Drosophila melanogaster: one gene and its partner. Changing the gene in region 2 together with the main gene of any one other region gives a genetic interaction. Each region holds a gene or a part of one and is shown on either strand. Other genes may lie near its edges. The genes, in order: ena and IRSp53.

Region 1 (3,928 bases), on a different chromosome or scaffold from region 2:
TCAGTGAAGTGCTCCCTAATTGCAGTACCATAATTGCCGGCTTATCGTGTGCATTAATCAAATCGAATTTCGGTGAAAGAACCGTTTTCGAAAAAAAAATGAAAAATCCTCCAAGAAAAGTTCTTATGTTTACCGGTACAAAATGAAACGAGTTCTGAGTTTACCCGGTCTTATTTGTGTTTGAGTTTAAGTCACCACGAATGTGGATATATGTAAATAAGTAAATATGAGTGGTTCGTCGGAACGTTCAACGTTAATCCTTTTGGCTACGAGCTTGATTGAAGTCGGTATCCATAAGCTGAATGGATCCCAACATATCGTCGTCACCTGTGCCAGTGGAATGGAAGGTCTGCGATGAGGTGCTGCAATGTGACCCAAATCCAGGCTTTGGTCGGTACTTATAAGTTAAGAAAAAAGTTGGTGTACAAAAAATGTGAATGAATGTATTTTAGATTAAATTTTTACCATCATAAACAAATTCGTTTACAGTTTCCTTTCTGAATTTGTGGTTTGCAACACCTTATAAGATCAACATAAATGTTGAAACTAACTGAGCACGGATTTTCTCGCAGTGCAGGCACGGCAGGAAGCGCTCCTCCCGTGACGAGTTCATCGCGCAGTGATATTCGATATTGATTGAGACCCCCACTTGTCCCCCAGCACTTCTTGATGTTTGCCATGGGCAAACTGTTTTGAGTCTCCTGACTGCCTGGCAACCTACTTTGTGACTCCGCTGCTCACATGTGTGGGCCCTGTTTGTTTTTATGATTTTTTTTTTTCCAGTCCGATGTCTGCCTGCGGGTCTTTATGGACAGCCATATGGATTACTCCAGTACTCGCATTCGTAGTGCCCCTTAGAAATATTTAGTTGCCAAATCATTTAAGCCGCGGCACACGCTCTGGTCCAAAAAAAAAAAAAAACAAAACAAAAATGGTAAAAAAAAAAAACGAACTGAACCATTCTGACAGAGCCATTAAAGCTAGCCGGTAATCGGTTGGCTCAAATCAGAGATCGGTGAACCACCAACAGCCACTACACAACCACTTACAATGGGCCACAATAATGTTAATTGGAAATAACGTTTAGGAATTGTTGTGGGGCAAAAAACCGAATCAGACTGAAACATAAGCCAGCGAGTCAGAAACAGAGGCTCAGATCTCTGAGAGCTGAGTGCTCCAAGTTGAGATAGACAATGTTGTATATGAATTTTTCATAACATGCTACAAGCTGTGCCTCCAGGTACCTCCCCCCCCCCATTTCCCGCCGCCGTCGCCGCTTTTCGCCGCCAAAGAACAGTTGAAATGAAGGAAACAAAAACGCAGCGAGCGAGGGAAAAATACTTGTAATAGTCACTCGAGGGGGAAATATAAATTATTGAGCTCGTTTCTTAAGTAATTATCGCACTGACGGACGGAACCAACTTACTGAATCACAAACACTGACCGAATGACTAACTGGCGGATGGACAGACTGACCAACTGGTTAAACGACGGTCACGAGACGTCGGCGAGGCTTCAAGATTGCCGGCAGAAAAAAGCCTCGGGCGCAACTTTGTAAGATTCGAGAGCTTATCGCATACCCTTCGAAACTGCATAAGAAATTTGAGATGGAACTTGCGCAATTTCATAGCTAGGCGAAAAGTTGTAAGGGTATGCCCTACAATTCATTGTATCATTGTAGCTCTCTGAAGATATTGCATATTTTAGGGAAACTGCTTGAAACTCTGTTTCAGTGCCTGAAAACTTCTCAAAATATAAACTTTTGAGTATTAAAATAAAATCGCCTTTCAATAATCTGAATCTTACATCCTTCCCTCAACGAAAATCGTGTAAAACGAGAACGTTTTTTCTCAATAGGTTCTATGCAGACTACTTGCCCTCACGTCTTTTAATTGTCATGCCATTTGGGAATCGTCTGAAGCGACTGTGAGTCAGGTTGTGGTCTCTCCATCTACCTGGCCATTATGCTCGGTTCCCAGCTCGGGGTCAATCCAGCTCAACATCCATAGCACATCTCATCATTTCTCATTATTTTATTGACTTTGAAGTGTAATTATTTGCCTTTTAGACGAATTCAAAGCGCAGCAGCCGCTAAAATGAGAGAAAAATACAGATTGTGAGCCGATACTCAGTTTCTCGCTCACGTCTTTTCTGCTCATTCGCCTTTAGATATATTTTTTTTCTCGGCTTTTGTTTGTCTTGGCCTCGACTGAGAGACCGTTTCGGTCTCTGAGACCCAGTCGCGATCTCGGTCTGGATCTTGGCTTTAGTCTCCAGCGGGTCTTGAGTGCGTTCAGACGTGTGCAGCTGAGATCTTGGAACGACGAATGGTGATCGGTGATCTCTGATCAGTGACCAGTGGGCAGAGAGCGAATAGCCAAGATCCAAGAGCCTAGGCAAACATAAATACGATACATCCGATCCGATCCGATCGTTCGGTTTCATAGTGTGCTTAAGTGTGGGATCGATCGTGGGATCTGTTTAGTGTCTGTGACGCCTCTGCAAATATTGGCCAACGGTTAATGGCCATGAAGAAGCTCTACGCGAAGACCTCGTTCACCAGCAAGAAGCCATCGAGTGCCGCCAATTCCACTCCGATATTGGCCTACCACCAGCAACAGCATCAGCAGCCGGGCAATGGCATTTGCGAGTTCCAGGTGGTGGCACCTGGTCACTCCGGTGAGCTAATGATACGCCGCAGCCAAAGTATGCACCACAAGATGTCGCCTCCAGTCGGCGGCCTGGGCTCCAAGTCGGAGTACTACAGCATTGAGGAGCTGCAGGAGCTGGATTTGCTGGACTATCGTCATCCCATGTACCATCATTATCAGCAGCAGGAGCTGAGGCAGCGCTACCATGAGCACGAGCAGTTGGTGCTGCAGTTACCCAAGGCTACTAGTCCAAAGGCAGGACCCATCTATGAGGCACCACAGAGATCTCAGCAGCAGCAGGATCAGATGTTGTATGTACCAACGGCAGCGCAAAGAGATTCATCATCAAGTGCTGCAGCCACATCTATAGCCAGCTCATCTACCCTAACTTCATCCCCATCGCCATCCTCCTCTTCATCTCTGATCTTTTCCACTTTGCGCAAATGCGTTTCGCCCTCGAATCCCTCGGTGAATCCGAACCAACCCTCAAAAACTCAACCCTCCAAACTGGGCTGTTCCATGTCGTTTTCAATTAGAACGACAACGGCAACAGCAGCCACAGCCGCAGCAGCAAATGCAGCAACAGCAACACTATCGACACAGCAGCAACAACAGCAGGCACAGCAGCAACACAAGCAACATCTCTATAGCAACATACATCATTATCTGATCCGACAACAACAGCAGAAACAACACTACACATTACAACGTCGCCATAATTCGGTCAAAGATAAATTCATTGGGGGCATTACAACGATTTTTGCGTATGTGTAACCCACTTCCCTATGCGTCTGTCCTTGGTTGGGTTCTGTAATAATTCCCATATTTCCCCACTTTTCTCTACTATACTTCTTCAATCTCAGCACGTAGTACTTGGCCCTGGACTTTTGAATGCGTTTTACAGCTTGGTGAGATCGTTCGTAAATCAAAGAACTCTTAACCCCCACAGAGCAGCCGCCGTCGTACTCTCCGGTTTAATCATAATTATAATTTAACGCCAATTAAGCTGGAAAACGCTATCGTGTGCACACGAATCTGCATCTTGCACTCGGCTGCAGTTTAAAAACTTAAGCTTAACGCACGAATAAATCCCCAAGGCATAGAAAATTTCACCTGCCACATATTGAAAATGCTCCCAAAGCGATTTTCCAGTGGCTCAATTATATTAGCATCCCATTTAACTGGCCATTTGCGGGGCACTTTTCGATTTTCATTTGGGTTTTCCACTCAGCTGCACAGCGCAAAAAAACGATTAAGATGTTAGTTTTTACTGAAAT
Region 2 (3,928 bases):
TCGAGGGTTATCATTATGTACTCATATGCAGAATATCTAGTAATTACAGTACACACATACATACGCAGAAGCGCCTTTGCATCCGATAGATACAATTTTGATTAATCGCAGCAAAAAAGAGAGCAAAGAAATTAGAACGCCAGTGGAATTCGACTTGGCCTATGAGCTGGACACTACACGTAATTGCCGGTTGTGCTGGACTCTCCTCCTGGCATGTAGAGAAACTCCAGCGTTTGTAACGAACTGATAAGCGCGTAATTAACATGGTGTGGTGGTGGGGGTTGGGGGTTTTAGAGACGGGGCATGACATCTATACATCCATACCACCTGGCCAAACTGCCGTGTGCAGCAGCAGAAATATATTTTTCTTTACCCCACCATCGCCATCATCGAGAGCCAAGGTATTTTTTAAGGCGTGTTGTTTGCCGTTTTCAATAGATTTTTGTCTTTAATGACTTTTGGCCAACTGGAAACTCTTGGCCAGGCTTAATGGCTCCGATCGTTTGGCTTTTGTTCTGCACAGAATTGGCTTTGTGGCTTTCGTGGCGATTGGGTTTTGGGTTTGGGTTGGGCTTTGGTTTTGGATTTGCCAATGGGTCTACGAACTTCAGGTGTCGGCATCGGCTTTTGAGTTTGGAAAACCGCTAGCTGGTAGTCGGATAATGAGCCCGGTCAACTGTCCGGGAGATCGAGCAGGTGGCTGATGGACCAACCTAAATGGGTCGCACATGCTGGGCTAAGAAATTTGACATCGATCTACGATTGGCTGGAGTTTAACTGGTTTCTAATTTTGCTAAAAGAGTTAATAATATTGTGTGGTCAGCAGGGAATTCCAACGGAAGAAAGCTATTACTTAGTACATCTTTGGTTCACTATGATAACTCTATTACAAGAAATAAGAAAAAATACAACAAAAAATATTGCTACTATTGAAAGGTTTCCAACTTCTATTTAAAATATTACAAAATTATTGCCGTGACATTTAGTGGATTGAAAACAATCAATTGTGCTGTGTAGAAACTACAAAAACCTAAATACACACAATTTGGCTACCAAACATTTCATTCAGAATGCCGCATTAAAGTCAAATACACTTGCTAATAATTTCGCTTTGGCTTGAATGGCTGAAACGTTTTAAACCTATTGAATAAACAGGGTTTCGAACAATGCAAAACAAAGGCTCAAATACCGGGGAACTCATTAAATAAAATGAGAACAAGCCGTTCGGCTCGCCAGACTGAGATGGAGAAACAAAAAAAAAAAAAAAACAATCAACCACAAGAAGTTGGTGCAAAATAAAGTCTAACACAAAAAAAAAAACGAAAGATAAAAAACAATAACAGCGACTACAACATCAACAGGGAAAAAAAAACCCCCAGATGAAAAGTTCAATGCACGCAAATCGGATTAAGCAAAGAAATTAAGTAATACTTGTACTAGTGGAAATCCATTGAACTGCAAGTGGTGTTCATAGAAAAGTGGCAAATAGAAAGGTGGGCCGGATATTGAACGGAAGTTGCACGCCCACCCAGTTATTACAATATAGATATAGAATAGTTGGATAGATAGGTCAGTAAAGTCAAAACCATTACCTTTTAATCGCCAGAAATGTGTGTTCAGTACAAATCCGAATGTGTAAATCCAAAAATGACACTAAGCAAGTTTCTCAATTCTCACAATTATGTTTTGGTTCAAAAATCCGAGCACTTAGCACTCCGAATGTCGAATTTTTGGGATCGTTACGAGTTTAGAGTGAACCAAACCGGGTTTTTTTTTTGTTTTGTTTAGAATCACGCCGTATCGGGAATAGCGAACCGAACGCATCGAAGCTTAAAACTCAACTGATTCCAAGTTGCGGCTACCGTTTTCTTCGAGCGCCACGCGCTCAAAAGCTTTCCCACCAAAGCTTTTTCACATGGAACAAAACTTTTGTTGGGCTTTCTTGACCATTTCGATTAAGCCAAAAAGTTGACATCTTTCTGGCCCGAAGTTATAGCGAGCTATAAGCCGAAATACTATGTTTTATCTTTAACAACAATCTTAAAGTTAAATATTTACTTAAGTGTTGTGTTTTTCAGACTTTCACCGACCCAATGGTATGTGGACTAAAAAATGTTTAATTCCAAATATACAAGTACTAAGAAATAATATTACTCATCCGCCACGTTAAACATGTGCATATAGTTCTCAAAAGCCATTTTGCAAAAGTGCAAACTTATGACAATAATCAAGAATAACTATTGAACCATAACTATTAGTCTACTCCACATATTACTAAGTAATCCTCTAAGTATAAGTCCATCAGTTAGCTTTATATCGTTTTCTGCATGGTATTTATATGGAATTAATGCTTGTTTAGTTTTTGAAAGCATAGTTTGTAAAAAACAAAACCCAATAATTAAACAAAAAATTTTAAATATGTTTTTATTTAAATATTGCGAACTTAATAAGAGTAAAGTAACATTAGGATTAACAAGGTGCGTGTGGGTCGTTCATGTAGATCTTCAGGGTCTGCGGTGTTCCAAACGAGATGTCCTTCTTATTCCCAACTCGATCGGTTCTTCCTCTTTCCATCACGTGAGTGGCGGAACTTGCGGCGTCGGTTCGACTTGTGGGTCTTCTTCTTGTAGTGGACAACGGTAGCCTTCTTCTTTGGTTTCTTGGTGGTGGGAGTCACGGTGGTGCTGCTTCCGGTTGCCGAAGGCGAAGTGGTGGACGTGTCTGTATCAGTGGTCGGAATAGTGACCGAAGGAATAGTGACCGATGGAATAGTGACCGATGAAACAGTGACCGATGAAACAGTGACCGTGGCGGGAGAAGTCAGTGCCCAGGCAGTCGAAACGAAAGCCGCGATGGCAAGGAAGATAGTTAGCTGGGATCGCATCTTGAACAATGTTTTAGACTGCTATGACTGATGTGCTTCTTTCTGGGCGAAGCTGGCGTATATATAGCCAAATCAAGAGGAAGATCTCATATATGTTTTCCCTAAGCAAACAGCAAACAGTCGTTTTAAATCGAATCGGAATGTGATGTTTTAGTAAATTTGGGTTGCTTAAACAGAGATCAATACCACATTTTCGCAATGTATAATTAGGCTATTTATACAGAGGCTCACTTAATTATACGCCATTCATTTATTTTTAAAATACTAATTTCTTAGAGAAACGGATGTAAGTTGGGTGGGTAGCCAAAGTATTGAAATAAAAGATTTTTTTTTGTGTCATAACTTCGTATTTATTTTCCGTATAACTACATAGTGAAATACTTTACGAACTGACTCTCAATGGAATGTAAATTTAAATCGGACTGGAGAGCCTTATACATAAGGTTTTGAATTGTTACGAACCGAACTTGGAACCAAGTGTACGAATTGTAAATAAAGACGGCAATTTAAATTGACACGAAAAAAAAAGATAATATAAAATAAAAATTGGTCTTACCACAACGTATAAACATTTTCTGTTGCACATAGTTTGTATTTTATTCAAATGTTTTGCTCTGATCTATTAATTGGTGTAAAATAACTTGAGTGGTTGGGACTAACTTTACAAATGAGTCTCAAATGCATTTTAAGTAATGTGAAGTTCGGGTATAAACTAATCAAATCGAGGTGTATAGATATAAAATCAAATCACGGCTTTGCTTGGCGTACACACATATTAAATAATATTAATATCAGTTAGACTCAGAGACGTTCTATGAGCTAAATACAATGCTTTAGTTAGGCGAGTAATTTAGTTAAGATTTTACCACTTTTTCTTGAGTTTCCTTTTGCGTGTTTAATATTTAAGTTTTGTGTTTTCCAACTTGTACAATTACGAAACATTATTTTGGTTTTGCAATTACAATTAATAATTGAATGGCAATCTCTGTTCCATCTTTAGGCCCCACCCATGTCGTCCACGGCGATGGCACACAGCACGTACAT

Evidence for each region.
Region 1: of IRSp53 (region 2) and ena, changing one enhances a phenotype caused by changing the other (phenotypic enhancement), as found in Drosophila melanogaster (one study listed by BioGRID).

The regions. Positions count from the first base shown.
Region 1 is NT_033778.4:19,152,953-19,156,880, forward strand, and holds the start of ena (enabled), read left to right. Parts: upstream 1-2,268; 5' UTR 2,269-2,522; coding exon 2,523-3,415; intron 3,416-3,928. UniProt on the Drosophila melanogaster protein: Functions, together with Abl, trio and fra, in a complex signaling network that regulates axon guidance at the CNS midline. Required in part for robo-mediated repulsive axon guidance. May be involved in lamellipodial dynamics.
Region 2 is NT_037436.4:11,133,953-11,137,880, reverse strand, and holds the start of IRSp53 (insulin receptor substrate 53 kDa), read right to left. Parts: upstream 1,833-3,928; 5' UTR 1,593-1,832; intron 1-1,592. Other genes in the region: CG14143 (uncharacterized protein), read right to left, coding at 2,540-2,884; NaPi-III (Na[+]-dependent inorganic phosphate cotransporter type III), read right to left, coding at 3,881-3,928.